Linked DNA regions of Mytilus edulis. The protein of the gene in region 1 purifies or fractionates together with the protein of each later gene. This does not show direct contact. Links are inferred from orthologs where the notes say so. Each region holds a gene or a part of one and is shown on either strand. Other genes may lie near its edges.

What was found. The genes of interacting proteins can lie anywhere in the genome.
Region 2: the proteins of E3 ubiquitin-protein ligase KCMF1-like (region 1) and acyl-coenzyme A thioesterase 9, mitochondrial-like purify together in Homo sapiens (affinity purification with mass spectrometry; 3 studies listed by BioGRID and IntAct, with this or other methods). This does not show direct contact. The link is inferred for Mytilus edulis from reciprocal best matches to the Homo sapiens genes KCMF1 and ACOT9.

The regions. Positions count from the first base shown.
Region 1 is NC_092347.1:79,329,564-79,339,948, forward strand, and holds the start of E3 ubiquitin-protein ligase KCMF1-like, read left to right. Parts: upstream 1-5,248; 5' UTR 5,249-5,432; coding exon 5,433-5,448; intron 5,449-9,622; coding exon 9,623-9,790; intron 9,791-10,385. Other genes in the region: dihydropteridine reductase-like, read right to left, coding at 1,275-1,361. UniProt on the Homo sapiens protein: E3 ubiquitin-protein ligase which accepts ubiquitin from an E2 ubiquitin-conjugating enzyme and then transfers it to targeted substrates, promoting their degradation by the proteasome.
Region 2 is NC_092347.1:66,325,262-66,335,355, reverse strand, and holds the start of acyl-coenzyme A thioesterase 9, mitochondrial-like, read right to left. Parts: upstream 4,833-10,094; 5' UTR 4,794-4,832; coding exon 4,762-4,793; intron 3,332-4,761; coding exon 3,222-3,331; intron 2,511-3,221; coding exon of another isoform or gene 2,465-2,510; intron 2,422-2,464; coding exon 2,376-2,421; intron 1-2,375. UniProt on the Homo sapiens protein: Mitochondrial acyl-CoA thioesterase. Catalyzes the hydrolysis of acyl-CoAs into free fatty acids and coenzyme A (CoA), regulating their respective intracellular levels. Regulates both mitochondrial lipid and amino acid metabolism.

The sequences.
Region 1 (10,385 bases):
GGGGGGGGGAAGAGTGGTCTCCCCCTATAACTGGTGTGTTGGCTGGTGTGTAACATTCACATATTTTACATGTTACAAAACTTACCATGAAACATGTGAAAAGAGAACTTTTAGATTTGAAATAAGCAAAAATTACTTTCCTTGACAATATAAATCTGGTTTACACCAATGCATAGAACCCATATAAAAGTATCAGTAAACAGAAGAAAAAAATCTAAAATAAACATATTTCTCCTGTTTTATAATAGAGCTTGAACACAAGAATTAGGGAGTAAGTACATCAAAAGCAGGTCATGATCATTTTGCAAGCAACGAAAATAACTTGCTTAAAATCATAATTTTATAGTAGCTTAAAATCATAATTTTAATTTTATAGTTAGATTAATCAGTGTCTTCATGATCACAGTTCCATAATGACTGCAGTGCTGATCATCAGTATTAAAAAAATTAATTCGTGAAATAACTCGTGCAATATAGCATTATATTTTTTCAACTGCTTGCTCAACATGGAAAGGATGTTCACTAAAACCATTTTTTTCACAGAAATGCAATTTATGTTATCAAAATACATCAATTATGCTATTTAGTTCATGTTGATGATGATTTTCATTTACAAAACCTTCTTTTAGACCTATTACTATTATGATTCCACCTCAAGGGCAAAAGTATAGGACTCAGGGGCAAAAGTGCCCATCTTTCAGAGCAACAACTAACGTATATGTAACAATCAGTTCAGAGCAGTTGCTGGTTTCAATGTCATTTATCAACTTCTGATTTTTGTTTCAGTTGAATTTAGGAATTGCTGATCATGATGCACTCTTTTTAGTCTAACTTAAAGGACTAATTTAATTTTGATTTTTAGAACAAGTTACAGATGACATCAATATTTTTGACTCTTACTGAAAAATCGTAAGCATTGCAGCATTGGCAAGGTACACGACAATAATGTGAAAGTTGTATCTGAATGTGAGGTACAAGGAGCCAAGTAAAATAAACTGACTAACATATGGCATGCAGGTACATGTATCCCCTATCATACCTTATTGAAAAAAACTATGCAGGAAGATTCAAGACCTAAAAAAACATATTTCAGACAAAATATACATTATAAATATAAAGGCAGCTGACAGACTACTTTCTTGTGAACTATACACTTTGATTTGCGAATTGTTTCAACAGACCCAGATTCAATATTTTTTCAAGAAGCCGGACAAGTGTCCTCATCGTAAATTCGCCTTATATTCGGTCAACATAACATAGCTGCAATATCTTACATAGTTTTTAGCCTTGAAATGGCTAACACAAACTGATCCTAGGGCTCCTTTACCACCATATACTAATATTTTACCAGCAAGTGCCATGATTTCCTACTTTCACTTTCTTAGAAAATGTATTAACTCCCTTTAACAAAAGTCTCTAAAATGTGAACTACGCCCCGTGCTCATCCTATAAAATTCGCCAGACTGGGATTTCATAAAATACCTTTTTGATCATGGGAACAAACTAGTAATAAATGCTTGCGGAAAAGAAACAATTGTATGAAATTGAGGTAAACATAATGTTATTTCTACCTGTACACTGCCCCTCCACATATTTAGCAAGTTTAGCTTGAACTTCCTTTCTCTGAATTCCCTAGCCTATTTTTGCTTGACAAAGTTTATTTGCTTTTTTCACGGGGGTTTGTATTTTTCTCATCTGTTAAAAAAAATCCAATCAGGCCATTGTATGATCTTATATCATAAAGTTTGGTTTATGTATTGCATGGCTCCGTCAAAAACTCAGAGCATTTACAAAGATCACCTCAAAGTTCAACATGTTGAATAACAAATAGGTTAGAATGTCACTTTTTAAAACTTGTAATAATTGAGTGTTTGCTCTTAAGTAAATATAGAGAAATATATTTACTTTGACTTTAAAAAACTGCAATACGCCGATTTAAAAAAAAATTATAATGCGTAAAATAGTTTTGGGATCACAATAGAGATAAATGAGACTGAAATTTTAGCGATATTTACTCTAAAATTCTTTAATTTTACTTTACAATTTTCCGGCAGCTATACCAAGCTTGTTGTTTCAAAAGATAAATAGAAAAAAGTAAAATAAAAAAAATACTGAACTACGAGGAATATTCAAAACGGAAAGTCCCTAGGCTAATCAAATGGTAAAATTTAAATCACCAACACATCAAACGAACGGATAATTAACAACTGTCATATTCGTAACGTGGTACAGACATTTTCTTATATAGAAAATATATATTTCTATTATATTTATTAACAAAAGTAGATGCTCTCAATGATTAAAATTCTTGATATAATGCATCTCTTCCCGGTATTTCACATTTTGACATCGCCTCCTAAAAAAAATATTTTACGTGAGCAAAGTTCGTATACCTCACCTCCAACGTAACTGTATTCGTCATATGATTATCATATGCCCGCCAAACAAAAATTATAAAAAAAAACCCCAATGAAAGCTCACACGATGGAAAATGCTCAATGTGTTGTCGTGTATATGGTAAATAGGCTAGAAATAACCGAATATCAATATGGACAATAACAACAGTCAATGAAAGAACATGACAGCGCATTCACACGTGTATCTATCGATCACACAGTAAGATAACTCTGTCAAGAAGGGAAAAAAAAGAAAGAAAAAAAAAACGATTTTAAAAACAAGATGCATGCTTTCTTTAAAATAGAAAAAAAAAAAAAAACGGATGCCGTCCCAGAACCTAAAACACTACATATTTGAACGGTTACCAGTTTGCCGTGTAGTTTGATGCTTAAATATTTTAATCATTTCAGTAGAGATGTATTTACATCGATAATTGGTAGTTTATAGACAGGGTAACAGTGAGAGATGACCAAAACTAAGTAAACATATGTACCCTTTTCGGACTATAAAGGTCAAATTAAAAAGTGGCCGGACTACGAATTCATATTATTGACGTGCACGTCAATATATACCAGTGATGTTTTGTAAAGCTTATTTTGACAAATAGGACCACATTGACTGCTTGACAGTGAACCTTTATTTCTTTATTACGCTTTTATAAATGTATGAAACCAAAACAAAAACATTTTCTAATGAATTATTTTGTTGAATTCGTGGCTATATTTTCCTTCTTCTTCTTTCGTTAATCAGCAACGGAAAATATACCATCACGCTGATGCTGTGTCATCAAGTGCAGGTGCTGTACAAGTTGTGATCAACCAAATCGGGAAAAAAAAATAACTAGATACAAGTTTAAAATTGTGGTTGGTGCAGGATAAAAAAAAGGATGATCTTTACCAGGGGCGGATGCAGGAATTTTCGAAAGGGGGGGGGTGCTAACCCAGGGCAAAGGGGGGGTGCAGGGGGGGTGCAAAACATATGTCCCGATACAAATGCATTGATCGGCAAAAATAAAGGGGGGTGCGCACCCCCGGAACCCCCCCCCCCCCTGGATCCGCCACTGTTTACAGCATCACTGTGTCTCTGGTCTCAGGATGGAAGTGTGACCAGAGGTTTTCCTTAAAAGTGTCCGAGTCAATGTCAGTTGCGATGTTTCCTGGTAGATGATTCCAGTCTCGGATTGTTTTCGGGTCCTTTAAAAGCTAAATGATTTTTAGCAAACTCCAAATGTTTTACAAAATGTAAAATGCACAATAAAAGTGAGGCAACAATTAAGATAACAAGTTGATAAAAAAAAATACTAAGTTGTTATAGTTCGTTCAGTCTTATGTTGTACTGTTACACCACTGTCCTAGGTTAGGGGGAGGGTTTGTATCCCGCTAACATGTTTAACTCGCCACATTCTGTATGTAAGTGCCTGCCCCAAGTTAAGAGCTTGTTATTCAGTTGTTGTCGTTTGTTGATGTGTTACATATTTGTTTTTCGTTCATTTTTTTAACATAAATTAGGCCGTAAATTTTCTCGTTTGAATTGTTTTACATTTGTCATTTCGAGGGCTTTTATAGCTGAATGTGTGGTATGGGCTGTGCTCATTGTTGAAGGCCGTACGGTGACCGATAGCTGTTAATTTCTGTGTTATTTGGTCTCACATATCACATTCTTCTTCATATTATGTTTTATTAACCCCACCGCATGTTTGCGCCTGTCCCAAGTCAGGAGCGTCTATCTGGCCTTTACTAATTGTTTGTGTTGTATTTTTTTTTAAATTTTAGTTCAGTTATATGTTTTAGAGTTGAGTATGACGTCCATTTCCTCTGAACTAGTACACATTTTTATTAAAGGGTCAACTGGGTCCACCTCCGGTGCGGGATTTTCTCGCTGTGTTGAATACCCATTGGTGGCCTTGAAGGCTTCAGCTGTTATCTGCTCTATATAGTCGGTTTGTTTTCTCTTTGACATGTTCCCCGGGCCATTTCCATTCTCAATTTTATTCTTGAGTTATAGGCATACAAAATAGCTGTGAACTAGTGATAATAATGATGAAGAACGGCAATATAAAGGCGCTGGTCCTCAAGTTAAATTGCTTTGTATGATTGTGTGTTTTGCTGAGCATATACTGATTTTGTGTCATGGATGGATACCCCATATACCTGGGTTTTTCCCTTTTTAAGTGTTCTCTCAAAGGCGTCTGTTCCCAGCTCAAAGAACAACCAGAAATATACATCGTTGGCTACTGAGATATTAATAAAATAATAATTTCAGAACAGCTCTTCATTTGCGCAATGAATAACAGGTATTTGATTAGTTATAAAAAGATTTCGATTGAGTTTTTGTAAAGAAAATACCCGAATAAGTTTTAACAGAGAGAGCAAAGGCATGTTTCTATCTTATTCATATGGACACATATGGATAGTCGACTTTTCCCGCATGGTATGATATAATTAGGACTGAAACAAGTGCCTGTGACCAGGGACTTTCTATACTAACAGAATAGAAAGTCCCTGCTGTGATTGAGACTGAGTTGGGTAGAAATTCACCTGCACTGAATATCGAACCTCTAATTATACCATTTATTATTTATTTCTTTGTATTACAACTTTCAAAGTAAAAGACAAACGTAGTAGAAATCTACATAAACTAAAGTGAAACAGGTGTTTTATAACGTCCGTTGCTGTTTTAGTTATATGTTATTTATTTTGCAATTTTTGTTGAACTGTACTGTGAATAATTCTGAAAAAAATCTTTTAATGTTATTTAAATATATAGAGCACGATTAAACAATATTTTGTTATTCATCAATGGTGTGAAATTTAAAAAAAAAATCTTTTAGAAAACTCTCGTATTTCTAAATTTCTTCCCGTGAAATTACGTGACGTCATCATGGTTCCCATTTGCCAAGAATGTAACCTTGGATTTTCCTAAATTAATCTTTAACATACGCTAATTTACATGCCAGAAGAATTGACAGTAAATCCTTCTTTATCTCTACCTTTAGCAGGATATCTTTTCTTTAAGATAAAAGCTTTATTTCCGAAATGTCGAGGCATGAGGGTGAGTTCATAAATTTGTCGACAAAATGGCCACCAATAATATTCAGCGTAATATAAAAACTGTCATCTTTCTGATAAGAAATAGTACCCATTGAGAGTAATATTTTCACTGTTGCACTTCATGCTTCAGTGTATGATTTATATGTTGGGTATTGACAGATAGCAGTTGTCGTTGTCAGCACGAGACAGTTTCCAGGAAGTTGTTTTCACTTCACTTCCAAGACATTATTGCTTGCATAAGATGAACGTTATGTGGGCAACAAATGAGAGGGACAATCTCGCCATCTCAATTGGTAATATGTGATAGAAATATGTACTGAAAAATTACCATAAAATGAAATAAGTCTTGATCTAAACCAAGGCTCTTATACATCAACTCTTCACTCCAATTTTAGATATATATGATGGTGTTTATCTTTAAAATTATCCACCAAGAAACAAAGAGGGAGGAATATTATTTACAGTAATCATATCTCAATTACAGTCACAAATATATCATTTATGAAAATGGTGAACGTTTAAGAGTCCATTATTTTTATTTATAAAAATAAAATTGACATCATTTCAAAAGACTTTCCTGCAACAGAGAAGTCAGGACGTCTTTCCTATAAACTCCTCTCAGTTATCAGGGTTCTTCATTTAGACCAGTAAAACAATGTCAGAGGACCACTGGATTAGATTAGTTTTGATATTTAAATTAAAATGCACTTTGAAAGTGGAAAAAAAGAATTTTTGGTTTACACTTGGCAACAAAATTTGTTATAAGACATATCAAGAGACTACATTACAAGAATCTTCATCAGCAATTTGGTAAATAGTAAAAAAAAATACGGGTGCCACATGTGGAGCAGGATCTGCTTACCCTTCCGGAGCATCTGAGATCACCCCTAGTTTTTTGGTGGGGTTCGTGTTGTTTATTCTTTAGTTTTCTATGTTGTGTCATGTTTACTATTGTTTTTCTGTTTGTCTTTTTCATTTTTAGCCATGGCGTTGTCAGTTTTTTTTTGATTTATGAGTTTGACTGTCCCTTTGGTATCTTTCGTCCCTCTTTTTTTTGTACCAGAGTTTGATCAGGTGAGTGATACAGAATGAGAGGACCTGCTGGGGAAGTTAGACATCAAATTGCCTCTCAAAACATTTGTTGATGACTTGAATGTAAAGAAAACATTACAAAACCCCAACCAAACCTTGTTTCTTACTTGATATTGTCATAGATTCATTTTCAAGTGTATAAATCAAACATTCAAACCCTGGTTTTTGTTTTATGTTCCTTCGATTATATATCAACAAGTTCTCAAATCATGCAAGTGTTATTTGATTCCAGTGCATTCAATTTTTGATGTAAATTTATGCATACATGTACATGTACATGTATGATACCTTCAGTGACCCAATTAATAACTCAACTTATCAAGGTAAGCCTCTTCATCAAATCTGTCATATCCAGACAAATTTGACAAAGTCATATATAAATGTCAGCCTTTTTGCATAAAATAGCTCTCATGATTACAATTAATCTGTGTGAGAAAATAACACAAGAACGAGTTATCTTGTTCTAACTTATAGTATGTTGCTGAAAATGGAAAGTTGGTGGAAATAAAGGTTTCGTACTACATTTGTAACTGATTTTAAGTTTTAAAAAATGGTGTCAAATTAAACATAAGAGCAATCTCTGACTGATGTTTGATATTAATTATATAATTTATCTATGAACGACATTAAACAGGGCTAGCACTGCTACTGACCTAAGGGGGAAAATAGAAAATACAATATGTACTGAAATATTGGGTTAGTGATGGAATTATTGGGTGCAATTCTAAAATATAATGTTGATGGAAAAAAAATTAACCTATGAATATTAGATACATGTATACATCAGGGCTTCCAAAACGGTCATATATTCTGGACAATTGTATAATGTCCGTTAAAAGACTGGCTGGGCAAAGCATGAAACGGTCATCTACTTTTTAGTTTTCAAGGCTTTTTCAGTCATTTTAACATAATTCACGATCTTTTTGACCCAACCTTTTGCCTTTAACTGACATCCACACATTTCTGATCATAAAAGTTACATGATGATTAATTACTATCAAAACAACCCCTACTTCAATACTTTCAAATTTTAATCAACATGATCAAGGCAAGTTAGTTGTTGGACAGCTGAAATCTACCGTTCAGGTGACAGGTAAACTATTTTCAGTACCGGACATCGGTGGACATCATATAAATTGATCTGTCTATTCACAATTATTACTTAGGCTTAAATTAAAATATTGTTTGTTTGCCCTTTACTGACCGACCCTATCAATTCGTTCCGCCTGAAAATCTTTTATTTGTATTTACCAGCAAGATTTTATTTTATTTTATTTTTTCGTTCCTACCAAAAATCTTATATTTGTATTTCCTGCTCAAAACTTTTTTACCGGAATTCTCGGGTTTTATCTTTACGTATAAGGTCCAGTCCGTTTGGTATCACCTGAGCGTTTGACATGAACACTTGCAATTGAAGTTTCAAAGCATTTGTTTGAAATCGATGTTGAACGCTTTCTGAAATCATATAATGAAGTACGTTACTCTGTACCTTTAAACTTAAAGAGCAGGGTTCATTTACAAAAAAGTTCGTTTGATACAAAAGTATTAACGTGTGTACAAACTAATTTGTAAACGGACGTTGTATTCTATGTAGGGATGGCCTTTTGTGATCCGCATATATCAGAATGATTATGTTAACGATGCCGCTAAATTATTTATATCTGACATGAACCAAAAGTGACAAAACCCTGTAAAGTGGAGAATATCTGGCAGTAAAATCGCCAAGTTTTCCATACAGATCATTTATAAATGTGATGCAAAATACGTGACAATTGAGTTTTAATTCTTATAGCATTTTTATTGGAAAAAAAGGCACACACGAAATTTGTAACACTCTACGGACTTTTTCTACTAGTAATATATGTCTGCCCGGACATTATCTTACCAGTACAAAGTTATCTCTTTTATATTTTTTTTCAAAACTAATAGTTCCAGCGGAAAACTTATTTGCAAAAACAAAACGGACAAAAAAATGACATTATGCAGATTTCGTATCTATAAAATAAAATATTTTACCTACCTGCCTACCCATGACAAATAATATACCGAGCCAAGTTATTTTTTTGGGGAAAAAAATTAAATATTTTACCTACCTACCTACCCTGTTTCAAAACATAGGGTCGGAAAAGGGCAAACAAACAATATTTTAATTTAGGCCTTACATTTCAACGGTTTGTATGTACATGTACACAATGTAATTGATATAGTCTAAAAGATTAAATTATAAGAAATACGTTAATAAACATGATTTGATGAAAAATTTAATGAGGTTTTAAATGAAAAATCGTCAGAACTACGTTGTATGAACTAGAACTTGTGTGCGCATGTGCTTAGGTGGGGAATTTAATTACACATCCTATATTTCTTCAAAAATGCTAAAATTATCATTGATTACTGTATCTAACATTCATTTCAAGTATTTTGTTGAAGAAATAACGTGGAAAGAGCTTCTTCACTCAGTCGTGCTTTGTAAATCGTACACAGATTTTACGTATCCATTTATGGTTCATGTTTTACCATTGTCAAGTTAAGTCAACATCCGGTTTTAGAAAAATGTGATTTTAAAAAACAAATGTAAAGTTTTTGACAATGTCATTTTGCACAATTAAAGAGTATGGCAAATATGAGCACGCTGATGTGCACACTTTGAATGATGCACTGCCAATTTAACTTTACGTCAGAACATCAAATTCATATCAAAGTATCGGTTTTTTTTTTAATGTAATGTCAATCATTGGGATGGCTATCTGATTACCATAATTGTCTTTTGTGACTTATTCTTAGCGATTAAAATCGGGATCAGATATTAAATGTCTGGCTGGCTTAAATATTTTTGGAAGCCCTGGTTTACATACATATATGTTTCATTGAATTATTTTAACAATCTTGAAAGTTCATATACATGTAGCTATCAGCATGATCAGTCATACCAAAAAAAACCTGCTTTTAACTGATCATTATATAATTATTATTCACATGCAAGATATATAGATGCTGTACATTATTATTTATTTAATATTAAGTAAGTTGCTATATAATATTTATAGTAATAATAATATACTTTAACTTTCAATGATTTTCAGGTGTAAGCTGTGATTCCTGTTTGAAAGGGAACTTTAAAGGGAGGAGATACAAGTGTTTAATTTGTTATGATTATGACCTGTGTTCTACATGTTATGAATCAGGAGCCACAACTTCAAGACACACTGCAGATCACCCAATGCAGTGTATACTTACAAGAAATGATTTTGGTAAGAAGTGTTTGTTATCATTGAAAATAAAGAGAAATATAGGATATACAGATCATTGAGACAGCAACTTGAATACATATTTAAACTAAAAAGACAATTAAAGCAAGGAATTCATTGAATTCTGGAAAATTTATAATATCAGAAATGTGATACATTGGGCCAAAAATAGATAATTGTTTGTTTCCCCAAACCTGACCCTATCAAGTCAGGTGTGGGTAGGTAGGTAGGTAAATTTTATTTTTTTGGTAAATTTGTTTTTTTTGGTACTTGCGGTTAAATTGTAAATAGAACAGAACAGAACAGAACATATTTTATTTCCAATTAAGGGCCCACAAGGGGCATACAGAGCATACATGAATAAGGCAAAAGAATATTGATTTGCATAGATACATAGATACAAACAATTTTTTTACATACAGTTTATACAATACAATTAGGAAATTACAAACCATCATTATAGGGCAGTATTTTAAATTCTAGGGTGTATTAAGCTATCAGTTTCCAGCTCATGTCAGATATATTAAATAAAACTCCATGTATAATTTGAAATAATTTATTTAATTGGCTTTCTCTTGGGTGGTAATTTTCCAATAAT
Region 2 (10,094 bases), about 13 Mb from region 1:
CATTGAACCTTTTTATCAATTTGAAAATGGAGACACAATAAGATTATTGTTGGAGTTTAAATATTATGCCATTCTTTGATTCCATATATACATCGAAATTTAAGCAATATACTGTGGATTCATTTTTTTTTTTTTCTTGGGTATCAATTTTCTTGGATTCAATAAACAATGCATGTTGGTGGATATTTATTTGGTGGTTTTGCCAAAGTCTGCATAAAAGCCTACATGGATATAACATTTGTATTTCGTTGAACATTTGAATTTGTCGTTCACCTTTACCCACGAAAATTGATATCCCACGAATAATTATCCACAGTATACAAAGGTCCCATGAATAATTATCCACAGTACACAAAGGTTTCCATATAAATACAAAATAACCTTGATAGTTTTTATTCTGCAAGATTAAAATCCGTGCATTGGAAAATCTAAATTTACTAGAAAACGAGACATCTTTCGTCTGTGACCTAATTGAAACAAGAATGTGTCCATAATACAAAGATGCCCCATCCGCACTATCATTGTCTTTGTTCATTGGACCCTGATATTAGGGAAAAACTCTAATTTGGCATTAAAATTAGAAAGAGCATATCATAGGGAACATGTGTACTAAATTTTAAGTTGATTAGACTTCAACTTCATCAAAAACTTCCTTGACCAAAAACTTTAACCTGAAGTGGGTCAGACAGACGATTAGACAAACTGGAACACAGACCAAAAAACATAATGCCCCTCTACTAGTGGGGCATAAAAAGGGACCTTATTTCTAAGCCAGGAGTTTAATTATTTGTACTGCAGGGCTCACGCTACCAGGCGACTTGGGCGAAGAAGTCGCCTTCCCGACCGTCACTTCGCTTTCCCCGACCCCCAAAAGCGAAAACAAGTCGCCCTGTTCTTGACGATAGTCGCTTTCAGTCGCTTCCGTCATCGGACATTTTCAATTTTTACCAAGTTGATGAAACATTAATTTTTTACTGATAATTAAAGAAATTAAGACATAAACGATTCATTATCTTTAGAAAAGAGGTTGAAGCATTATCTTCGTAGTGTGTAGCAGGTTATTTGATAAAAAAAACAACTTTTTATCACTTCTTGCATTTCTGCAAGTTCCGGTGCTTGTTACTCGAAAACGTACATCAACCTAAATTTCGGCGGCAAAATAAGTTTGTTACTTCATTTAAACGTGACAAAAGTTGCCTCCAGTAAATGTTTAATCCATTTATTGCATTAAAACCGTCATGTTCCTTTCCAAATAACTTGTCAAACATCGTTTATTTTTGTAAATTTTCTTGCATTCGTCCGCCATTGACCGATTTCTAAACTACGGATCTGAACCGGACCAGCTATGACCGAAATCCGTACTTTTACAATAATTACTACGGACGCACGGATGGAACAGCTGACAGAATAATATTGATCACAAAAGGGAAAATTACGCATTCCACACGCATTAAGAGACTTTTGGTTACATCTAATTGATTGGTGTATATAATTCCCTATATTTTTTATGGATTGTTTCAAACTATTGATTAAAGTTGCTTAACTCTGAGACTATTATACTAATATCAATATATTATGGCCCAGCTTAATAACTTTTATATTTTTTATGAGAAACACTGAATTATATACACAAGATAATTTTTAATTAAATTGTAATTGATATATTATAATTTCTTTACATTTTTTAAAATAATTTTTTTTTTTTAGTGCTAGATATTTAGTTTGTAGTTTCTCACAAGAACCTTAGTAAAACTTAAACAACTTTTAATTTCAATGTTACTTTAATTGTAATCTTTTACTCATATGAATTGAACAACATAAAAAGAACATTATTTACATATGGCCCTTTATACTATTGTAAAATCCAAACATTGTAGCGCTCCGCGCGAATGAGCACTTCTCTTTCAAATCTCACCACTTCTCCCTATCAGTTTCAAAAAGAGAAGTCACTTCTCCCTATAATTCTGAAGTAGTGTGAGCCCTGTACTGTCTTCTGATTTAGTCATGAGGCCCTCATTGAGGGTCTGGGTAGGTTTTACAGAACAGAGAATTCTAGATCATTACTACAAAAAAATGTGCAAAAAAAAATAAGAGTAGAGAAAAATGGGATGCTGAAATATTAAGAACATAAAATAATAGACAAAATATAGAAAGAAAAGAAAACAATGACTGTAAAAAATAAAGTATGCAGAAATAAAGGACCCCTCCAAGCCCTCAGCTATGGTTGTGAGTGTTCAACCTATCCCTAACCTGTGACAGTGGTATTATAGCACAACATAAGACTTGTATCCAGACTTGGGCAAAACCATGAAATCAAATATCAACGAAAATATATACCGGGTACCCACAAAAATAAATGTTAGTATTTAACTTACCCCCAACTTAGTTGTGCTCCTACTAATTCTTTCAGTCTGTTCCTTGCTTTATTAATAAATTTTAGTATTTAACTTAGTATTTAACTTACCCCCAACTTAGTTGTGCTCCTACTAATTCTTTCAGTCTGTTCCTTGCTATATTAATAAATCAAAAATAATTTTTAGAATGAATATTGTCAAAAATAAAAGCACTCTGGTTTTCCATTAGATTGAATAAAAGATGCAAAGATGAGTTTATAATTAAAGTAAAAGGTTGGTAATGAGACAACTATCCACATGACTTCAAATGACAAAGATAAAAACCTATACGGTATCATAAGTCAGCTATAAAAGTCCAAAAATGAAAAAGTTAAACAATTTGTGAAAACTAACGGCTTAATCTATAATAATACTAGTAAAAATAAATACGACAGACATGAACCAATGTATGGATTAATTTTCATCATTAATGGAAATTTGAGAAGTAAGTTCTTCATTTGGAAAACTTATACTGTGGATTCAATTATTTTCGTGGATTCATTTATTTTCATGGGCAGTGTTCTCTCCAGAGCCTTTTAGCATCATGGTAATGTGATGCTATTATCTTAAATGTGTGCTATTTGAAATTGTCTTAAAGATTATATTATGGATGTGATGCTATTATTTTTAGAAACTACCGTAGATATTTCAATTTCCCCTTGCTAGTTTCTGCATTCAAAGCCTCTAGAAAATTTGCAAGTCTTTGAACATATGAATTTGTGTTTCACCTTTGTCAACAAAATCCAGGAAAATTGGTATCCAAGGAATAATTATGAATCCACAGTAATTAAATAGTGAAAATGTATATTGTACTGCCATTTTAGGTACCTGTTTGTATTGTTTGTATTGATGTGTTTGTCTGACTGTAGTTTCTTGTCCTCCATGACTGGGATAACAGTTTTCTTCTACATTGGTATGATCTTTGTAAACCTGAGGGTCTATAAAATACAAAATTCTATTATCTGACTGAAATTTAAGAGTCTAAAAAAAGAACACAAAGGGCTACATATTCAACATGTCAAAGCAAAGCATGTCAATTTAAAAAAAAATACAGCCATGGAAGTGATATCTGCAAATATTTAACTTTAAGTTTTTAAAATTGCATTTGATCATTTCACCATATTTTAAATACCATGAATCACATCTGGCTATCTATCTCAATAAAATAATGATGAAAACACAAAGGTACAGAACATAAAGATAGGATACAATGTAAACACAATAACGACACTTTAAAAATGGCATTGTGTAAATTTGAGATATTAATGACAATATTGACAAAACATTGTGCACTGGACATACTTCAATTTGTTTAATCATTAAAGATAAATACATTGTATTCCAGTATTTAACTGTGTAAATCAAGGGGAAACTAATAAAATGGTTGCGGCAATACAAATATTTTGCTTTTTTTTCAACAAACTTTAACATATTCTGATCAAATTTAAACATAACTAGACAACGATAAGAAAAAAATAAAAATCATGGTAAATGGACCTTGTGTGAAAAGGTATCAGGACTAATAGTAGCTGCTGAACAACTAGGCAAACAGGTACTAGGGCGAACAGACCCGGATTCATGTGATAGGTTGCTATTTTCGAAATGATTAATTACATGTAGGTGTTTTGATATCAGTGGATATATAAATAGAATACATATCCAGAAAATTATACATGCTTTACATGCCAAAGACTAGAGAAATGAACTCTGAAAAGGCCTTCCCGTCTAGCAAGCGCAAAGGTCAACAACTGCAGCCAAAGTACACCCCACGGGGCCTAAATTTATATTTTTCATGTCTTATATTTTCAAACTAAGTATATATAGACATATAGACTTCTCAAAACCTTGTTCTTTACGAAGTGCCCTTTGAAAGAGGGATTTCCTAATAAAGATACAGTGGTGGATCCAGATATTTACATAAGTGGGGGCCCACTGACAGTTGTGGATCCAGAAATTTTCATAAGTGGGGGCCCACTGACTGACCTAAGAGGGGGCCCTGCTCCAGTCATGCTTCAATGATTCCCTATATAAGACTCAAAGTTTTTTCCCAAAAAGGGCCCCCCCCCCTAAATCCGCCTCTGACTGACTGCCTAAGAGGGGGCCCGCTCCAGTTATGCTTCAGTGATTCCCTATATAAGGAACCGAATTTTTCACAGAAAAAAAGGGGAGCTTGATAAGGACTGGATAATTTCTTTACAAGAATGTTATACTTCTACTACTACTATAGACGGAGAATGAGTCTATGCTGCCTGGTGCGACATTTGCATGTTTCCAGTCAGACGGTTTACAAAATCAAAAACTGATCAACGAGAATGCAATGGACAGATCGTTAAAATAACAAAGAGTCTTATTTAAATAGAACTTTTACATTTTTCTTGTCAATTTTAATAAAGAATCCATTTTCCGGTTTGTGGAGATTATAAATCACAAAACGGTATCAGCGGACCCGATTTGTTTCCGTATTTAGTTTTGTATTTAATCAATAAACGAGGATATGGCTGGGATTTATAAAAGAGAATACAAAGGGTGAGGGAACAAGGAAAAGATGAGAGAATAATTCGGTGCAAAAGTTCATAGAATAATCTTGGAAAATTGAAAGAATTAGTTAATTGATTACAGAAATTAATGATATACCATACAGAACGGCTTAATTCTTATTACAGACAGAAAAAAAATTAAAGTGCTTCAAGAGTATTTTACAGAATAAAAGTTATTCTTAAAAGAAAAAAAAAATCGCATAAAAATTATGAAATACAGAAATAAAAGATCCACGTCAAGATCCTAATATACATTCCAAGTTGTTGAAGAATCATTTATTCCCTGTTTTGGTTTTTTTTTAATGTTAAAAATACATTTATGAATATTGATAAATAAGAAAATATTACTTTATATTAAACAATTGCAGAGTGCACACTCTGAAATGTCTCGCCTTACTTACTAATTTTTCATATTGTGTTAATAGTCCTCAACATGAAAATGAGGTCAAGCAAGTTCAAATAAACTGATCAAGAAATATATGTACACCTTACAATCATTCAATACACTGAATATAGTTGATCTATTGCTTATAGTTTCTGTAAGAAACAGACTTCACAAAGAAAACTTAACATTGACCAATGAACAATGAGGTAAAAGTCAGATGAACCATGCCAGGCAGTGTGAGACATGTACAGCTTACAATCCTTCCATACAACAAATGTAAGTGACCTTTTGCATATATGGATTTTGTTTCAAGAATAACAGACAAAAAAATAAAAATTAAGCCATGAAAAAGAGGTCATGGTCAAATAAAAACCTGCGAGACTGACAACTACATCGTTAAATATTTCCATACACGAAACATAGTTGTCCTATTGCATATACAGTTGTAGCATTAGAAAAAAAACACAAAAACTTATTTATAACCACTGAACCATGAAAATGAGGTCAAGGTCAGATGTCACCTACCAGTTGGTCATGTTCACCTTAGAGTCCTTCCATACACCAAATACACTATGCTTATAATACCTATGATATGGACGACCACCAAAACCTACGTTACCTTGTTCACTGATCCTTGAAACGAGGTCCAGGTCAAGTGAAAACTGTCGGACCCCTGTCCAGCTTCTGCGGACAAAAGTCACAGGCTCAACAAAAACCCACAACACATTTGTAACCTATATGTATGCAGTGTGGGTCTTCGAAAAATTTACTTAATTAATCCATTTAAATAATTTGTAAAAGTATATAAGTTGTGACTAATTCTATTTGTCCCATTGATCGGAACCGAATTAGTCATAAACTAAACTTAATCGATTGACAGAAATGAAATCATGTGCAACACCCTTTATAGACTCTTTATATCAGAAACCTACTTTCTGTTTATTATTTGCATTTGCCATCAAGATTCAAACTATATTTAAGTGATAAAATCTAATATTAGTGATCAGGGGCCGTATGTATAAAACATCTTAACTTAAGCAGTGGCGGATCCAGAACTTTTCCTAAGGGGGCCCGCTGACTGACCTAAGGGGGGGGGGGCGCTCCAGTTATGCTTCTATGATTCCCTATATAATCAACCAAATTTTTCCCACGAAAGGGGGGCCCGGCGACCCCCCCCCCTGGATCCGACTATGTTAAGTATTCCTTAAACTTAGATTTCACTAAGAATTTCATTAGTTAAGTCAAATTCTTAAATGGTATGCATAAACTTACTTAAAGACACATCTTTCTATTCAGTTCTACCAATAATACCTTCTTTAAATTTTATTTACACTTTGGCATATTTAAAGCAGAGACATATATATGTCTCTGTTTAAAGCTTCAAAATAAGCCACACAAAAAAAATGGGGTCACCGACCTCGTTTTCGATTTGGAACGGCATCTTTTTCGAAGAATTTGAAAATCGTGACTTGAAGTTCTTTGCCATGTAAAATTTTATAAAAAGTCCGAATCACTTGAAAATTTCATCTTGTGTTAACCTTATTGTTTGCAGAAACTACATTATTCGTATATTTATCAACTGAAAAACAAAAAGAGATATCGATAATTTGGTATAAACAATTTTCTCGCCTTTTTATGGTGTAATGTGGAGGTTAAATATAGTAATTTGAAAAAAGACCAATGTTTTTTTTTTCATATTAATATCATTTTTATCTATTAAAAAAAAAAAAAAAAAAAAAAAATGATTTTTTTGTTGCTTTGTACTGATCTAAAGAGTCGTCTTTTTCAACAGTTTGTTATTTTGGTGTACTTTTACACCACTTTCTATGTGAATGGGACGACCACAGCTTGTATGTCCATGTCGTAATTGTTTCCAGTTGTTATTTTGTAATATATGTGATGAACTAATATCTCATGACTGGAATTGGTTTTTTTTTGGTAATAATTATTTTAGTGCTTTGTGCCGATCTTAAAATCGTCCCTTTTCAACTGATTTTTCCCAGTTATTTTTTAGGGTTTGCTATTACACTACTTTGTCTAAAACTATCGTTTACTGTACAGTATGGGGTTTTGCTCATTGTTGAATGCCGTGTGGTGACCTTTAATTATAACACTTCAGTAAAATATCAAAAATGTATTTGTCTCATCGGTAATCATACCACCTCTTCTTATTTTTATATCAGCAAGGTGCATTTTGAGGTACTGTAAATGACCAGGACAATTTGGGTGCGTTTATCCTTCAACTGTCAAAACAACAAGGAGCCAAGAGCCAAAATTTAAAAGATAATGTTTAGTTTTAATTCAGGTATTCTGAAATCTTTGTTTATGTAGCTACTCTTTTGCAAGCAGTAACACGAGGTTTTCCGTTTATATTCTTCTCAGCTAGCACTAGTCAAATGCCATTGTCCGTATCTCGCCTTTTAGTCAATTGCAGTTGAAATAAATCCAGACCGGCACTATCTGATATTTTTTTTGCCATTGCGGACGAAATCACGCTTCTCTCTGTTAAAGACTTTAATGTAACTATAGTCTTGCCTTTGATACTATGTTTTGTTTAAAGCATAGAGCGCAAGAAGTGGTGACAAATGAGTATGGACTTAACTCAGTGATGCTACATTTGGTAAATTCAACAAATTCTTTCAGCATTTGTACATCAGCGGATGCATTATGGGCACTGTAATTCTTTTTTTAAGAAGGTAGAAACAAGCACTTCTTTTTTATGCGATTTCAATTCTGGATACAGATATCGGAAAAAAGGGAGTGTATCAATGAAACCAAGAATTTTTTCCTCAAACGATGAGCAAAGTTGAAATTTCTGTAAACAGTGAACTAATCCAGGTACATCGAAACATTTTGCGTTATGTCCGATCAACATGCATTTTTCTGGTATCTTTTCTTGTAACCAAATAATAAAATTCTGTAAACTTTCTTGTGGTGAACATGAAATGACTTTACGGTCATTGTAACACAATATGGTGTTACACATAGACGACTCAGTTACCTCAGAGGCATATTTACGTATCCCCGAAGAAGGGGTAATATATTGATCAAATACATGTATATTATTTACTGCTGAAATTTGAAAGATGTCATGTGCAGTTCAGAGATAATGAAGATGTTTCCAGGTCGAAATAAACACATGGAATACAGGTCTGGATATTTTTGACTGGATTAAGCTCTTCTATTACCAAAGGATTGGACATAACGTCTGTAATTGCATGTTTTGACAAAGCATAATATGAGGCAGGCATTACCTGTGAATGGGGACGAAGTCTGTATGATTTTTTTTTGTAACTTTTTAAAATATTTGTGAAAAAAAGAAACGGAAATACCGTAACGTTTCCGATTTTGGTTCTGTTGTTAGGGATTTTACTTGTGACGTTATTTAAGTTATGACGTCATGTTCAATGTAAACAAAATAACACAATGCATCAGGTAACGTTTATTCATATCAAAGACAAAGAATGATTAAAAATGAAATATTGGTATTGTGTTCCTTGAGTTCCAATATTTTACTAGACTAATCAAAGTCTCACGACAACAAGACCGGAAAAAGGAAGAAGATTTCTGCGTTCTGCGCAGATCCGGAAATTAAAAAACACGACAAAAAAAAATTGAACGATTTTGAGTTCATTAGTACAATGAAAAATTCGGGAAAATTTTCCCGATTTTTTTTTTTTTTTTTTTTTTTATTGATTTTTCTACTGTCATTGGGGACTTCGTCCCCATATCAATTTCTGTTTTGTACGTATCCCCTTCTCTTCTCTCTAGAACATTATTTTCATTTCTAGCTTAACGTCAAAGAAAAAAATTATAATAGCCTTTCAAGACGTCATAATTATTTGGACTTTTATTCTTGCTTCTAACATTGTTGTCAACATGTTGTTGACCGACTCGTTCTCTTTTGAAGAAGCACAAGGAACCAGTTTATCTATGTTTTCGACATAATCTTGAAATATTTTTGCTTAGCTTATATTTCAAATCCAGATTTGACACTGATCATTTAATAAAATACGGAATTTCAATGCCTTCAATGTCTCTGGATTTGTAATCATCTTAGAACGTCAAATGTTTGCGTGGGTGTTATCACGTCGCTTATATTGATTATAGGACGCAGTTTTGTAAACCCCGGGTTGACAGACAAGACAATTCACACGAGGTTTGTTTACTAGTAGGCCCTATATGATTTATTAAGCAATGAAGTCGGGAAAAACATGTTATCAATTAAAATTTTATACACAGATCAAAATATTTTTGCAACATATTGCCACAAGCACAGTCGCCTGAACGGCTGAAGATTTCATAATTATAGCAAAAAATGGGGGAAATAAAATCAGGCAACCGTGATAACGCTGATCAATGCTAATATGAGTTCTATCGTTTTGACTTTTATAAGCCCCGGGACATCAAAATGTTTAAACAGAGTTGCATAAATCCACAGTCGTTGGTATATGTTTTTTTTAATTACTTAGCTGAAAGGATGTGTTTTCTGGGCTAGTAACTTTTATCTCAAAGGAAGCGTTTCCAAAATCTGAAAGGAGTTTTGGTCGATGTTAACGAAAAAAAAAAAGTATAAATATAAAAAAATTCTAAAATATAAAAATACTTCTCAAAGCCAAAAGTATCCTTAAAATTTCGACAATTTAATTGTATATTCACCGTCAATCTCCGTACAGCGCTCGTTTCCTTTCCGTATACTTAGTACACTACAATACAATGATTTTATATTTAGGGAAAACGGTACTATTTATTCTGCCATAGGCGACAATGTTAACATTT